Astyanax mexicanus: one gene and its partner. The protein of the gene in region 1 purifies or fractionates together with the protein of each later gene. This does not show direct contact. Links are inferred from orthologs where the notes say so. Each region holds a gene or a part of one and is shown on either strand. Other genes may lie near its edges. The genes, in order: xab2 and aqr.

Region 1 (8,787 bases):
AACTGGTCCGTGAAGCGGGTGAGGCCGCCACGAATGATGGCGCCCACATTCAGCGAGGTCACCTTGTCTGGGTTCTGGGAGATGAGGTCACACAGCTCGTGCCAGAGCTACAGTTGGAAACAAACCAAGACATGTATGAGCTCAGATTTCTCTACAAAGAGCCCGAACGTTAATGAACTAAACGTAGATGAACTAAAATCCTGTAAAATGCTGACCTGGTAGTTTGACTTCCCTTCTTTCGAGACAAAGCTTTCATCATTAACCACAGCTGCCAGCCGGACTGCTGCCTCATCCAGCCGTCCTACAGAGCGCAGGTAATCAATGTACTCCTCTGTGTTCTCTGGAGAGAGCTGAAGAGAGCAGAGGAAAGGAGAGAGTCAGAACTAAGTGTTCGGTGTTGCAAAAAAAAATGTCAGTGTTTGTATCTGGCAGCACGTAAAAATGATCAATTATACGACATCTAAAAAAAAAAATTATTAAGCATTAAATTATGGAGTATAGAACTATACTAACAATATTCTTGTTCTTGCACCGTATTTTTCGCACTATTAGGTGCTCCAGATTATAAGGTGCACTATCAATAAACATACATAAGGTGCACTGGATTAAAAGGCGCGTTACGCAAAACTAGTAAGGAATCAGGTCATCAGGTCTCGCCGCTGGGAGTTGGTGGGGGGTAACTAAGTTAAGCAAAGCCAAGTAAACAAAATCAGTAACTCCTAAATAAAAACATTTTCTTTTAAAGTCAAACAAGCACCGGATGTAAATCTACACAGATTTCTCTCCTGAAAGCGATTCATATAGATGAGTAAAGCACTTTAGTTTATTTACAGTAAGCTTAGATTTCCAGATTTCCATTAAGGCTGGGTGCAGCAGCATTAGCATTAGAGGCTAACTGCTAGCCTTGGTTATTAAATGGCTAGTAAATGCTGCCCGGCAGCGCTATACTGAGGAATTCTAAATGTGTTCTGGTAAGCCAGGGCGATATCAGCTAGTGGTTTGTCCCACATAGCGTCTAAATGACGAAGAGAGATAGCAGCTAATGCTAATTCTGTTCCAGTTGCTCTGCTAAGGAACTAAACTGAAACACCTTTACAACACTGTACAATCCATCAGCAAAATGGATTTACTGCTCCTTAATACCTGACTGGTAAAATTCATACATAAGCCACACTGAAGATTTTTGGGAAAACTAAAAGATTTGAAGTGCGCCTTATAGTGCAAGAAATACGGCAATTGTACAGTATTATGCTCTGTATATTCAGTAGGGTTCAATAACAAGTTGGAGTCACTGCTCTACAATTACACCTTCTTACCTTGAGGTATCTACGATAAACGCGAATGGCGGTCTCAGGCAGAGGTAAGTTTCGTGCAAACTTGAGGTACAGAGGCCAGATTCGGGAATGCTGAGTGATGGGTAGGGCTCTGAGCGCTCGGTCGAAGGTACGACGGCTCCTTGTGATTTTGCACTGAGACACAATGAACTGACAGTAATCCAGCCATATCCTCGGCATCTGGAAAAAAAAAGAAGAAGAAGCATGAAGTGCAAAATCTATTATTAGTTCAAAACTTTTAGAAATCACAGGACAGAAGACACTAGGGGTGTCACGATTCTCTAAATCCTCGATTCGATTTTATTTCCGATTTTAGGGTCACGATTTGATTCTTGATTTTCTTTTTTTTTTTTTTTTTTACTTTTTACGATTTTCTTTATTTCTTTAGTTCTATAAATCCGTTTTCAGCTTCTCCTCTGCGGTTGAAAGGCAGCTGTTCTGCGTGTGAGAGGCTCGTGTGTGTGTGTGTGTGTGTGTGTGTGTGTGTCTCTCTCACACACAACGGAACTTTTTGTCGGAGGGTGGGGCTGCGCTCAAGCAGTCGCTCTCTCTCTGTTGAAAAACCCTGGGCTACAGTGCGCTGCGCCATTTGCTGAGCGTGCTGCGGCATTTGTGGGAGGGATCGTCGATCCTCTTTTTTACTTCGAGGCTCAAGACCATGTCATAATTTCGATCGATTTTGATAAAATATCGAAATCGTGACACCCCTAGAAGACACTAATTTATGGTGGTATTAATGTCTGATGTTAAGGAATGCTGTGTATTTCTGCCTCCTGCACAAACAATGAATCTGGTGAGAAAAAGCAAGAAAATGCCCAAAATTGTGGGGGATATCATTAACATTATCATTAACATGCTTACTTTTAAATTGTAATAAATATACAAATTAAATACATTATAACAGCTACAACAAATACATTCATTTAACTAAATCACTCTCTTATTTGATGATTGATAAAAAATACATATTAGTAGGCTAACATTTTTCATCTAATCATTTTCATTTTACACATTCATTTTACATCGAATTATTAAAAAAAAAAAACATTTTAAAACCTACAGAGCTGGCAACTGAGCTAATCAACTAAAAGTGCATTCGTTTGTATACATATAAATCACATGATGTGAGCTGGTGATAGACCAGAAAAGCATTGTGGAAAAAGAAGACAAAAAATATTGTCCTTCCCAGTAAAACATTAAAACAAGCAACTGTGAAATCACATGAAAAGTAATTTGTTGTAACTCCAGAATAGGATACTAGTAATTTTACCTTGTGCATAAACACCAGTGCTCTCTCATGGCAGTTGTTGATTTCCTCATAAGCGGGATCTGTTACGCATTTTCCCTTGACCTGCTTCCTCCGCTCCCTCAAATAGTTGTACCACAGTTTGTAACTGTAGTTGAAGAAAAACAAATACATACATTGTTTTTTACATACATAAAACAACAACCATTAACTTTTTTCCCATCAAAATACAATGAATGGTTTTAAATGGAGTAGCTGCATTTACCTGCCAGGTAGCTCCTTCAGCGCTCGCTCGTAGATCATATTAAGCACTGACTTGGAGCCACTTTGCTTGTGTTCAATGTAGCGCATCCAACACTTGACTGAATATGGATTCCTGATGATTTCCTCTTCATAGGGCAAGTCATCTTCTTCCTGAGAGATTCATTTATGGAGTTAGTTAACTTTACAAACACCAGGGCAGAATGCAGAATTCAGAACTTCAGACTTATACATTTGAATTGAACCATTTTAAAGACTTGGATACAGCAAGGTAATGCATAATTTAAGTATATTAAATTCAATTATACTTGAATTAAATTACATCAATTACAATATACGTCAATTACATAAATATGAACATGTGTAGAACATATGTAGTTTCTTTTTTCTAATGTTTTGATGGACAGAAAACTAATTGAGACCTGTTGTTGTTCATCAGAATAGATGATAAACCAGCCAATGAAACAGTAGCAGTAATCATATGTAATATAAGTTACGTTGTAGAGCTTCATAGTCCACCTTAGTTATGTATTATGAATGTCTTTGAATGTATTTTAATTACAAATAATTTTAATTACAAAAAAAGTACAATTCATCCTATTATACCAACTCAAAATGAAGAATAGGGACATTATAGAACAGCTTATATAGCTAGCAAGCTGGTTATAAAGCCAGTGTTAACTCTAATATTCAAAATGCATTTCTAATTTATTACACTGATCTCAGACCGGATTTCTCTGTTTTGTAAATATAGCTAACTAGCTAGGGTTAGCCACAAAAGTGTCAAAAATACGTTCTAAAAAGAAACAACAGTCCTCACAGCAAAAGTATCAGCCAGTCCTATTTATCTACTACAGTGTATGTTTCATATTTATCTAATTCTGCCTAAATAAATCTTAATAACTGATTTTAAAATAGTAACGAAAGTTAGCCATTATTAGCTGTTAGCTTCCCACAGATACCATACTTGGTAGCCTAGCCGTGATATTCTATCCATAAAAAACACAGAAATACATACAAACGTAACGTCCGGTTTTCCGTTAAAAGTAGGCATGTTCCTCTCCCGGTAGAAGAACTGAATTATAAACCTATAAATGTAAAATAAAACTGTTTAATCGTTTTAGCTTCTCCGCTACTCTGAACGTGTTGTGGACGCAATGCTAACTAGCTCCGCCCCCTCGACCTTTCACCCGCTGCTGGGGCCGGGTGAACTGGAGCCCGCGCTGGCGGATTACACTGCCCCCACCGGTTAAAGGTGGAACTGCAACAGCAAAACCAACTTCACCACTTTCTTTTTTTAAATTAATTTATTTTTTATTAGCAGCGTAGAACACAAAACTCACAATTAATCACACTTTATCTTTCCTTATTTAGCTTTATTTATATATATATATATAAATATATATATAAATAATATATGAATAATTGGTATTTAAATGTGAATAAAATAAATAAACAGATTTTTATAATTGGTGCCAATCCCTTAAAAATAATTGTATTAATCACAACACTATTTTGTGACTAAATCATGGATAAAACCATGATTCCCTTTTTTTTAATTCTGGTAATTAGCTGTATTTTTGGGAAGGGGACAGTAATAATGGTGAAGTGTGGTTTACATCTGGCATACTATTTTTGTTTTAGTTTGTAGTTTTTTTTACTGTGTTTTAATATTTCAGGGTAGTTTTACTGTATTATAATAATTCAGGGTAGATTTACTGTATTATAATATCTCAGGGTAGATTTGCTGTATTATAATATCTCAGGGTAGACGTACTGTATTGTAATATCTCAGGGTAGATTTGCTGTATTATAGTATCTCAGGGTAGATTTGCTGTATTATAGTATCTCAGGGTAGATTTGCTGTATTATAGTATCTCAGGGTAGATTTGCTGTATTATAATATCTCAGGGTAGATTTGCTGTATTATAATATCTCAGGGTAGACGTACTGTATTATAATATCTCAGGGTAGATTTGCTGTATTATAGTATCTCAGGGTAGATTTGCTGTATTGTAATATCTCAAGGTAGATTTATTGTAGTATATCTTAGGGTATTTTTAAGGGTAGTTTTAATAGAGAAAATAGCTTGAAAAGAAGAAACGTACCTTTAACTGTGTGTGTGTGTGTTTGTGTGTGCATGACCACACGAGGGTAAAAGAGAACTGATATCAAAGTCGACCTGCAATTTAAATTCTAGTTGCAGAAGGTAGATACAGGGCAATCCTGGAAAAAACCTGTTGGAAGCTGCAAAAGACTTAAAACTGTGAAGATTGATCTTTCACCAAGACCCTAAACATACAGCCAGAACTACAGTGGAATGGTTAAGATCAAGGAATATATTTATGTGTTAGAATGGCCCAGTCAAAGTCCTGACCTAAATCCCATTGAGCTTCTGTGTAATGTTCACAGACACATAGATTTTTTATGTAACTCTCAAATAAATGCAATCATCACACAGTGAGATAATCCTTCATAATCATTTATTTCACACAGTTTTAAACCTTGGTTTAATTTAGTAAAGTATGTGTTTCTGATAAATTGGCAGCTGAGCTCAGTGTACATTCATAATGCTTATTTTCTTTTCACTCTATCCTTTCTCTCTCTCCTCCCATCCCCTCGTTCTCTTCCCTTCCCTGGCTCCCGGCTCTTCTCTGCGGCGTTTCCCTGCTGAAGCTGAGCTGTGTGGACTCTGTGAATGAGGGAGAAGTAATCTTCATCAGTTCCAATGGGTGGAGGATGAGGTGCAGGCCTAGGAGAGGAGGGTCTGGGGTGGGACGTTCGTCCATGAGCTCGGTAGGGTGAGGAAGACCTGGAGCGGTGTCTCCTGGGCCGGGGTGTCGTCTCAAGAGATGGGGGTCCGCAAACCATAGGAGTGAGTGGAAGGAGAAAATTTTTCCCTGCTGGTGTTCCAATCGTCAGGAACACGTCTGGGGAAGAACTCTGCTGACCGTCTGAGTTACTCTGCTGAGAGAAAGACAGGGAAAAGTGCAAAGAGAAATGTGTGTTGGAATCGACAGGTATGCACATAAAAAACGGATATAAATACTGGTCCACAATTCCTACAGTCCACTCACCTGTTTGGGAGCAGTGAGGCATACGGACACTTTGAAGGTAAGCTGCAATAAAGAAGGGAGATTATGGTGATTAAACTGATCTTTAACCTCAAAGCTATAGCAAAAAGCCACTAAATAGCTTGTTTGCTTTATATTTAACAAGTGTACAACACTGACAGGCCAAATGTCTTGGACAGGAACTAGTATCTTGTTCCCTGGCCATGCTCTGCATGTTCCAATAGTAGCTAATGGAATTTTATTATTTTATTATTAAGGGCTCAAAACAGACATAAAGTGGGGAAAATAAGTATTTGATACACTGCCGATTTTGCAATTCAGACAGTTTTCCCAACTACAAAGAATGAAGAGATCTGTAATTTTTATCTCAGGTACACTTAAATTGTATGAAATAAGTATTTGATACAATAAAAAACATAACTTATTATTTGATACAGAAACCTTTGTTTGCAATAAAAAATCTGACATTTGCTGTAGTTCTTGACCGAGTCTGCACACACTGCAGCAGGGATTTTGGCCCACTCTTCCTCCATACAGATCTTCTCCAGATCTTTCAGATTTCAGGTCTGTTGCTTGGCAACACTCTGTTTCGGCTCCATCACAAGATTTTCTATTGGTTTCAGGTGTGAAGACTGGCTAGGCCACTCTTGGAACTTGAAATGCTTCTTCCTTCTTAAAATCCACTTTAATTTTTGTATCTATGTGTTTTGGGTCATTGTCATGCTGGAAGACCCAGACTCAACCCATCGTCAGTGCTTTTACTGAGGGAAAGAAGTTTTTGGCTAAAATCTTGTGATACATGACCCCATCCATCCTTCCTTCAAAATGTTACAGTCCCTTCCCATTTGCTGGAAAGCACCAGCAAAGTAAAATGTTTCCACCCCCATGCTTTATTATCTTGCTGGTTGGAAGGTGATCATAAACGTATTTCATGTAATAAAATGTTGATTATTTATTTAAAAATCATACATTGTGATTTTTTTATTCTTTTATTTTTTATTCTGTCTCTAATAGTTAAAGTGTACCTACAATAAAAATTACAGACCTCTCAATTTGTTTGTAGGTGAGAAAACTTGCAAAATTTGTAGGGTATTAAATACATATTTTCTCCACAGTACTGTACCTGGTGCTGTAATTTTAGACAGTCTATCATTAACACCCACTGCCCTGTCCGCTGTGGGTGGTAATGCCTTCTATGCTGTACTCCCAGTACACACAGACATCCTTATGATAACAAAAAAATACTAATTTTGGAAACAAATCCAGTAGATGAATTAATTTAGAACAAAACTTTGTACTACAATGTGCAAAAAGGTATGCAGATTGTATGATATGATGCTAAGCAATGTTTAAGAGTGGGGGGTTGTAGGCCCCCACTATACTACCAGGTAGTATAGATAATGTTACTCACCTTGGTGGAAACATTATCATACTGAGTCCTCTCTTTCTCTGAGACGGGGCTGAAAGTGGCAGATCTTGGTGGAGGCTTGGTGAGCAGGTCTGGATCCTGTGTGAGGGACGTGGGTCTGGAGGAAGCTCTCCTGGGTGCAGGCGACTCCGGGGTCAGGATGATCTGTGGAACGAATGGTTTCTCCGTTCTGACTTCTGGCATTGTAGTTCTCTGGTCATCCATTCGTTTGCTCTGAGAGTTGGCCACAAGGGTGAAGAACTGTTCTGTGTTTAGTGCTGTAAAAATATCAGGAAAGGAGATAATGACAACAAGTTTCATTATCTCTTCATTATCCATGAAAAAGAGCCATGACCTATTATTCCACCTCCACCAAGTTTAACAGGTAGATTCTGGATTTGTCACTATGGGATGAGAAAAAGTGATACCCAGTGATTCATCACTCCTAAAAGCACTTTCATATTCTCCAGACTCTTCACACAGTTCAAGAAGGTGACTCTAGATAAACCCATCCACATGGTTTATACACATTTTAACCAATAAATTTAAATTTTTTTTTTCATGACTTTTCCATGCCTTAAAGGCAAATTTTCATGACCATACGATTTTTAAATAAACGCAATATAAACTATCCACATGGTTTATACACATATATACATTATACACACATATACATGTACATATATATACACACATATACACACATATACATTATACACATTCTAGATAAACCTATCCACATGGTTTATACACATTTTAACCAATAAATTTCCATTCTTTTTTTTCCTGACTTTTCCATGCCTTAAAGGCAAATTCTCATGACCATACGATTTTTAAAAAATCAGTGCAGACATGGACAATAAAACCAAAAATCAACTAAAAGTATAATTTAAATGGATTATAGTAGGCCTAAAATGAATCTGACACACAAACTTTAATAATAAAATGGGTTTCAGATCCTGAGAGCTCTATAGTATAGGGCTAAATTACTGAATTAATTCTAAGCTGACGTTCTTGTTAGCTTAAAATAGATTTTCTCCATCGATAAACGGAAACACAAAGATTTGTAGACCAATTTCTAGACTTTTCTAAAATTTTCTAGGTATTTTTATTTTTCCAAAACTTATCCAGGCCTGGAAATTGCTATTTTCAAATTCCATGACTTTTCCAGTTTTTTCGTGACCGTACAAACCCTGTCTCCAATAAAGCTCTTGAGAAATATCTCCAGATATACCTTTATGTCGTGATTACCTCTAGAAGCAGAATGGAGATCAGTTTTGAGTTTTAAATCCAAGAACAGTTATTAGAAAGATATATTTTGACATTACTACACTGATCGTTCTTTATGTTAAGCCATTCCACAGAGAACAGGGGTTGGACAATGAAACTGAAACACCTGGTTTTAGAGCACAATAATGTATTGTGGTGACGGACAGTTCTGGTGGAAACAGGAGAGTTGAGGTG
Region 2 (8,708 bases), on another chromosome or scaffold:
GGAAACAAAACCTAAGAAAAGGTGTCTAAATAGCCTGTCCTTTTAACAGCAAGCTCAAACTTATTTTTGGTAAGAAGAGCAGTTGTCTCCCACTGAAACTGACTGATATTTTTTGATGCTAGTGAAGATAAAACCGAAACTTCATGTGCTGCTTTGCTCTTTTTTGTCCATGTTTGTTAGTTTACTATCAGATCAGGTGTGTGATATACAACTCTGAAAAAATAAGACACCACTGAAAAATGATGAGTTTCTTTAATTTTACCAAATTGAAAACCTCTGGAATGTAATGGTGAATTTTTGCACCAGGAGTGGCATAAAGTTATCCAAAAGCAGTGTGTAAGACTGGTGGAGGAGAACATGCCAATATGAATAAAAACTGTGATTAAAAACCAGGGTTACTCCACCAAATATTAATTACGGGGGGTGTACAGTGTGTGTTTATCGAAAATGTGTTTTGATATATGTTTTTCACAAAAAATGAGCCAATGTCAATGAGTTTGAGTTAGAAAAAATATTTTTTTAGTATCATTTGATGAAAAATGAAAACGGGTCCCACAGACCCGAACACCACACAAGGGTTAAATAGTTCTTTGTCTCAGTTTTTGTACATCGTTCTATATGGCAACAAAAAGTGGTTCACTTTGGTTACCATTTTTGATGGTTTGGGAACGCCCACACCTGTAGTTGTTGTGAGGTGTTATCTTGTGAGTGCTTTTTGTAGGCACTCTGACCAGTGCTGTGCTTATGGCAAGTGCACTAGGAACAAATCATAGAAGACTGATATTTCCACCCAGAGTGGGCAGCAGAGCAGTGTGTGGAATGATGTGACTGGCTAGAAGTGTCTGTGCAAGCTGATAAGCGACTCTGGCAGAAATCACATCCAACCAACAGGTGAGTACATTTATTTATTCTAAATACTATTCTTTATGTATTGTAATAGTATACAGTGTATTCATTGTTACGCATTCTGAACATAATCATAATTTATAATTTCAGATAAACAGAAAAGACAAGCTCGGTCTAGACCCTGAGTTGAGCATTCATGTCCTCGTATTCTTAGCCGCACACACAGTGCAGTGCAGCTGTGAGAAGGGCAGGGAGTACATCGCCTCTTCAGTGTCAACAACATCTCACATACTCTGCATAGTCCAGTGCCACCCAGAACCAGACAGCCATCGCTGCCACCACAATAAGCGGCTGTGTCACTCACACAGACACGGGCAGGGACAGCGTGTCTACAACCCCGTTCCCATCACTCTGTCAGCACGTAGGCCTAGACAGAGGATCATGTTTTTGTGTCTTTAACTGATTCATCTTTTACAAATGGAAATGAAAGCTTGTGTTGGTTTTAATAAAGATATTATTTTGTTTTGCTCTGTAGGAAATGAACAACCACTACACAGGGTAACAGATGCAGCAATTCAGATCCTCATTCATGTGGTCAGAAAGCTCAGAGGGCTCTTATTATGGAAATGGAAGCATACTAGGATTTGGTGACATGAATGCTTGTGAATTTTTTGAGTGAATATAAAACTGTGTTGATCTCTGTAGCTACTAGACTGCTTTGATAGTATATGGCTGTTAAAACAAATCATGCATTGTATTTATCATGTTACAGTACAGTAATCATAAAAAAGACTAGAGAGATTAGGACTATAGAAGTACAACTATATAGCCTATTTTATATTGTTTTAATCTGATCTAATACTTAAGAAGAAAAAAATCAATGCAGAAATATTCAGAGATAGACTATATGTGAGTGTATTAAGTGGAGTGTGGCGCCCTCGTGTGGCAATAGTTCAAAACTGCTTTATCACAAGACGTTTGTGATCAAGCGTCTTGTTGCTCCTTTCATCAGTTAAAAGGACTTGCACAAATGATCTGTGCTTTAATTATACTTTTTAGTCATTTTTAATAGGATCAGAATCTCAGAACTTACTTTAAAAAAGCTACTGGAAACCACAAAATGCATTTAAAAATGTATTTAATATAGCTAGTATCTTTGTTTTATAAAGTAAAACAACATTTTTACCAAGAAACCATAGAAATATTTTTAAGGTGGCTGTTGGTTATGTAAAATAACTGCTTGTCTGCCAGAAAAGTAAAACAAATCCTTGTTTGACTTCAAGGTCTTTATTTTAAGCCCAGCGCAAAGCATGTCACAATGCTCATTTCTATCCCAAGAAACAGTTTTTTCCTCGCCTTGTGCCTGCATTATTTAAATAGTAAAGGTGCTTGTGAATATACAGCTCTGGAACTAAAAACTATGAGTTTCTTTGATTTTACCAAATTGAAAACCTCTGGAATATAACAAGAGAAAGATGGAACTTGAATTTTTGCACCAGGAGTAAAGGCATAAAGTTTTCCAAAAGCAGTGCGTAAGACTGGTGGAGGAGAACATGCCAAGATTCATCTAAACTGTGATTAAGAAACAGGGTTATTCCACCAAATATTGATTTCTGAACTCTTAACTTTATAAATATTAACTTGTTTTCTTTACATCATTTGAGGGCTCTGCGTCTTTTATTTTCAGCCATTTCTCATTTTCTGCAAATAAATGCTCTAAATATTTTTATTTGTAATTTGGGAGAATTGTTGTCTGTAGTTTATAGAATAAAACAACAATGTTCATTTTACTCAAACATATACCTATAAATAGCAACATTAGCAAACTGATTCAGAAACTGAAGTGGTCTCTTAATTTTTTCCAGAGCTATATCTATGCCGATGGGTGTGGTGGTCTGGAAATGATGTGTGTTCAGGAAAATTGTGCCATGCTCCTTCCATTTTTTAGATGATGGGTTAAACAGTGTAAAAACGAATTCATGAATTATATATACATGAATTCAGGTAATTACCAGAAGATCTTTTTTATTCCAAGTACAAAATGGCTATAAAATGCAAAAATAAAACTTTTTTTTTTCAGGTTTCCTGTATTTCTAATTGTGAGGGGCTAAAATAGAACACTTGAACATTGGAAAATAATTGAAAACACATTTCTTCTTTAATATATTAAATGGAAAATATAAAATAATTTCATTTTATATTTTTATTTTATTTAATTACAATTAAGCCTTAAACGGTCAGAAAATTTAACAGATGAACATTATACTGACCCCTGGTGACCCCTAAACCACAAACCATAAACATTTGCTTTTGGACTAATGGAGGAGTTCTTCTTAAAACCACAAAGATAGCTCACAGGGTTAATTATTTACTTTGTTTTAAGAATAAACTTAAGATGCAACATGACATTTGATCAACAATTTGTAAAAAAGTAACTTGTTTTTTACAAAAATTAGGAAACAGACTTTCTTTTCATTTTATTTTTTTTTCTGTTTTTTTTTGTAAGATTTTAAAAGATTTCTAATCGATCATTAAATCCTTTTTTAAACCTTAAAAATTTTGAAAAATTATTTTGTTCTTAATTTACAATAGGCTTGAAAAGGTGAAATTAGCGTGACGTTGAGAAATCACTTATATTGTTATAATTACTTACATATTTATTGATTAATTACATTTTTCACTATTTTTTTATTTATTTTGCTTTCTTGTGACTTTTATTTTGGCATTAATGTACACCAGTTACTAGCTTCACTGTGTTCTACCAGAGATTTTTTATGGAGGAGAATATCCACTTTTGGGTTCATCGGACCACAAGAGGGCGCTTTTGAGTAAATTCTAAACGAATGGGTTTATAAATGTTCATTTTTATACTGAAATGTATGCTAATTTTCTCAACACAGAGCAATATTAAATGTTTCAATGTACCAAATGCATAATTAAAAAATAAAAAAGCTTTTATAGCTTAAACTCCAGTTATAAACCTTTTAAACTCAGAGCACCAACCAGTCAGCTTACAGTAGCAGTAATGCCTAGCTTCTTCACTTCATAAAACTTGTTTACTGTAGAATTATTGAAACTTACAGGTATGTCGTATTTGCATTTTAACGAAATACTTCTATTTAGAAATAATCTATTTTCTAAAATTGATTTAAATATTTAACTCAGTTAATTACTATTTTTATTTTTATTTTCGTTTTTAACCGTTTAGCTTCATTCACCGCCATTCATTGAGGGCTCACTCGCGGGCTCCCTCTAGCGTTTTGCAGTAATTTTATAAAATAACTGGGGAGATGTGGAGACAGAGTTGCCAGGTTCGCAGCTTTCCTGCATAACTAGACTTGTTTGAAAATGTAGGGGTGGCGGGGTGCTGGATCAAAAACTTTTTTTAAAAAAGCCCCTGGTGGTGTCTGTGTAATTTGTGTAATGTGTAATCAGTTCAAATTTCTGTTTAAGGCTAAATTAGAAAATAGGGTGTAAACATATATATATATATATATATATATATATATATATATATATATATATATATATATATATATATATATATATATATATATATATATATTTTTTTTTTTTTTTTTCATTTGGCGTTGTCAAGAAAAAAACTAGTTTTACAATTTTCTTCTTTTTCATTTCTGCCCCACAAATTTCAGAATTTGTTTTCTTAAAAAATGAACAAAATTGCTACAAAATGCAAAAAAAAAAAAAAAAACTGTTTCCTGTATTTCTGATTGTAAGGGGCTAAAATAGAAAAAAATTACAACATTAAGAACCAGCATAACATAACACATTAAGGACAGCATTAAAAGGAGAGTGTAACCGGGAGAAATCAAAATGTAACCAGAAATTACCAGGCGATGAAAAAAGTTACTTTTACATGTTATTGACTGGGATATAAACCGGTTATAAAAGTAAAGTCAAGCCAAGAGGCTTTAAGAACTAATAAAACACTAATGTTACAATATTATTGATGACTTTAAGATAAATAACAATACTGATAAACCCTTACGAACAAAATACTAAGTCGTACACTCATGGTTGTCTTGCCATTTGCTTCAAATGTGTGAGAGGCATATATTTTGGGCTAGTTTAAGCTTCCAAAGGGCGGGTTTTAGATTTACTTTGGGCTGGATATTTTTTATTGGACCTGGCAACCCTGTGTGGAGAGGAAGTGCGCAGGCTCGCTGTAAACCAGCTCTGGTTGTAGTGCGCGCACACATGTTAGCTAGCAACACGAGCTAACAACGTATTAATGACGTTTTAGCGGGTAAACAAGGTATTTATGAATTATTCGCTTTTATATTCAATTAAAGAACATATTAACTAACAACAGGCTGGTAGATAGTTTGTTTGGGGTAACTGGTTTAAATAGTAGCGTTTTGTTTAGGTCTGCTGGTGCTGAGTTTGTTTGTTAGCTTGGTTAGCTAACTACTGTTTGTACTGAAGTGTAACTTATTGATACGGAATTTAATTAGTTATTTTACAAGAGTTTAAAATCCCAGTAAATAACATTAAATAATAACAAAATTAGCAAAAAATGACTTTACTCATTTTTGTTCTGTTTTTGCCTCTTCTGAACTCTTTTCTAACTAATTTAACGTTACTGTTTGAATGAATTAAAATTGAATGGGATAAGTTACAGCATAGTCATGTATACTAGCTGACTAATTAGCCCTATGGCAGCAGTTTAGACCTTTTTTGTGGGTATTTCTGCCAGTTCTGTCTGTTTTCGGTTAAGTAGCTGAGTGTTTTGTTTGTGACTATGTTTGATAAATGTTAAATGGACCTCCACAGGTTGTGTGGCGTTAGCTAGTGAAGACGTTATGGAGAAGGACGCTCGGGTGAAGAAGACTGCAGCTCCGTCTGTGTCTCAGATTAACGCAGAATATGTGACTCAGGTAAGAACTTTAGCTGTGAAATATGAAGGTGAAAGACTGTGGTTTAAGTCCAGTTGGCTAAAATATTTTATTTCCATTGCATTGGAAGTATGTGTGTAAAATGTTTATATTTCATAAATCACCCCTAAACAGTAAAAACAGTGCTCTAAATCACATTAATTTACTACAAATGAGCTGTTACTTTGCCTCAATAGCTCTGTTACTAACCTACTGTTTTCCCAGTTTAGTAAACGGGGCCAAGTTACTGTTTCATTGGTTTATAAACTTGTTCATTGACTGGTTCATAGTCTATTCTGATGGACAACAGCTCTCACATGGTGTTATGTGCAATAAAACATTTAAAAAATAATTGTAATGTATGCAGGGCCTAAAAGAGTTAACAAATAGCTAATTTCTATAGCTAAGTTATTGTGAGGACTGCTAGGCTTAGCAAACCTATTAAAATTAAGTGTGTTTCCAGGAAGTTGATTGCAAGTAGACATGTTTTTTTATATATATATGTGTTTTTGTCTGTGTATTGGAACAACAACAAAATAAAAAACAGAAGGAAAAAAAAAAATTAATATAAGCTAATTTCATCCAAAAGAAAAAATGAGCCATACAAAGTGATTGGTACCCTCAACTTGAAGTTGAATTCCGGTGTGAAATGGACATTGGGATGTAGTGAAACATGATAATGAGTTAAAACTTTATTTGAATAGCCCACCTCTGTTCTCCTCCAGCATTCTGAAATACAGTGCTTTTAGCTAATGCTCCCAACAGTCTTACAGTGCAAATGATGGGGTCATAGCATTGCCCATGCAAAGAAATCACTGTTTTTACACCATTAACAAACTCGAAGTAGCTCCACACTTCATTGGTAGAATTCTGAGGGCCCTGACGTTTAAAACAAGGCACTGAGAACTTCGAAAATGCACAGGTACAACATTACATTAGCTATATTTACCGTACACAGAGGGATTTTTTTTCACCGTTCTCTTCAGTGGTCATGGTCCAGCAGGACCACCACAGAGCAGTTATTATACATAGGGTGATTCTAAGCACTGCAGTGACACTTAGATGGTTGTAGTCATTGCATAAGGGTGTTGTACTGGTATAAGTGAAACAGCACAGCAGTGCTGCTGGAGTTTTTAAACACTGTTCACTCACTGTCCACTGACACTCCTACTTTGGAGATAAAGTAAAGGGAAAGACAGAAGCTCTGTCTGTAATCTGTTGCTGTACACTTTGGTGGTCGCAGAACACTTTCAACAAGATGCTGTTGGCTGGAGATTTCTGGATGGTGGACAATTCTCAGTCCAGCAGTGACACTGAGGTTAAAAATTGAGGTGTCATCCACTTGTACCAGCGCTACACTCACTGACACCATCCCCATGTCAGTGACACAGCAGTGGTAAAAATAAACCACCACATCATCATCATACCTGCTTTGTGGTGGATCCTCTGGTGTTCCTGGTCATTGAAGGAGGTTAAATAAAAGAGTACAAAGAATCGGATGGACTGCAGTCCAATGAGAGTAGAAGCAAGCAGGTGGTCATAATATTCTGATATGAAGGTGTGTTTGAGACTGTTTGAGACAGATTCTTAAAGTGGCAGTAACTGTACACAAAATGGAAAGAATAAAACCACTTAAAACTTACAGACAAATTACTTATAAGGAATCACATATAGTAAATAATTGTAAAAGAAATGTTTACATAGTTGTTGTTTTAAGCATGTAGCTAGTTCATGAGCGTTAAATGTATCTTTCATAAACTCAAAGTTACTCAACTGTTTAAATAGTGATATAATCCACCACATATAGACATTGTTGGCTACATCTTTTCTTAAGGCTGTCCTCTCATGTTCTGTTTTCTTTTTTAGCTCTCAGTTAAATATTGGGCTCCTCATGCCAAGAATAAGCTGCCGTTTGACTGTAAGGTAAGGAATACATTTATGTATGTGGTCATGTTTTATCGTACTGCAGTTGATTGTCTCTGAAAACTGCATTAGCCTGATATGTGCATTCTTAATTGTCACTTTACTTTACTGGCATTGTTAACACAATGCAGTTCAGATCTCAGTGTTATGTGAATCAGGGATTTTACGAGGGTTTTTCTGACATAATGTGAATATTATACAAAAAAATGCTTCATCTAGTCAAAAATCCCCCTTAAACATTGTGCCTATTTTATTTTTTTAACAGGTCATTGAAGATGTCTATCAGAATGAAATTTTCAAATCAAAGTAAGTATGCTAGCATTATTATGTTAACTATTGCCCTAACATCGTACCACCAACCCTGGGAAGATAAAAATCGCACACTCGCTGGAATTAAAGCTTTTTTTGGACAGATAAATTGTGTGCGAAAAAAATAATTGATCATAAACTGGTTCATCACGTTGGTGTATACTAGTGCTGTTGCCTCTATGGCAAGGTTAAGAAACATTTCTTTACTCTCCTTATGTATGTAGGTATGTATGAAGTATTGAGAATTTGTTGTTGGTGAGGTCAAAATGTTGGATGATCACTACCACACCTTGTCCCAAAAGTATTAAACATAGTATTATCAATTCATAGAACACAGTTCTCTATGCTATTGGCAATATTTCTCTACATAGACTATACATGCCATGTATATGCATTTGTATATCTGTGTTCAGTAAGTGTAAAGGGTGGCTGAGTGTGTTAATAGGACATTTAGTCATATTTCCTTGTGTTTCACTGCATTTAGAACACATTTTATCATTATTGCATTGTTTTAATAAATAATTGCTGTTTTATTGATTATGCAAATCCTTTTTGGTTACAGATTTGCAATCCGAAAAATCATGTTGTTGGAATTTAGGTATGTGATTTTGGTCTTATTGTTTTGTTTAAAGAGTATAATTGATGTTTTACTATTAGTTTATTTATTGTAGTTCCATGTTTGATTATTTTTTAATTTTTTTATTTTGCCTTCTAGCCAGTACCTTGAGAATTACT

The links.
Region 2: the proteins of xab2 (region 1) and aqr fractionate together in Homo sapiens (co-fractionation; 3 studies listed by BioGRID and IntAct, with this or other methods). This does not show direct contact. The link is inferred for Astyanax mexicanus from reciprocal best matches to the Homo sapiens genes XAB2 and AQR.

Annotation. Positions count from the first base shown.
Region 1 is NC_064410.1:4,829,329-4,838,115, forward strand, and holds the start of xab2 (pre-mRNA-splicing factor SYF1), read right to left. Parts: upstream 4,036-8,787; 5' UTR 3,896-4,035; coding exon 3,860-3,895; intron 2,995-3,859; coding exon 2,846-2,994; intron 2,729-2,845; coding exon 2,605-2,728; intron 1,515-2,604; coding exon 1,317-1,514; intron 351-1,316; coding exon 216-350; intron 108-215; coding exon 1-107. Other genes in the region: uncharacterized protein LOC103046674, read right to left, coding at 5,416-5,808, 5,919-5,960, 7,327-7,601. UniProt on the Homo sapiens protein: Involved in pre-mRNA splicing as component of the spliceosome. Involved in transcription-coupled repair (TCR), transcription and pre-mRNA splicing.
Region 2 is NC_064421.1:15,192,313-15,201,020, forward strand, and holds the start of aqr (RNA helicase aquarius), read left to right. Parts: upstream 1-5,013; 5' UTR 5,014-5,122; intron 5,123-5,640; 5' UTR 5,641-5,669; coding exon 5,670-5,744; intron 5,745-7,607; coding exon 7,608-7,664; intron 7,665-7,929; coding exon 7,930-7,970; intron 7,971-8,535; coding exon 8,536-8,571; intron 8,572-8,688; coding exon 8,689-8,708.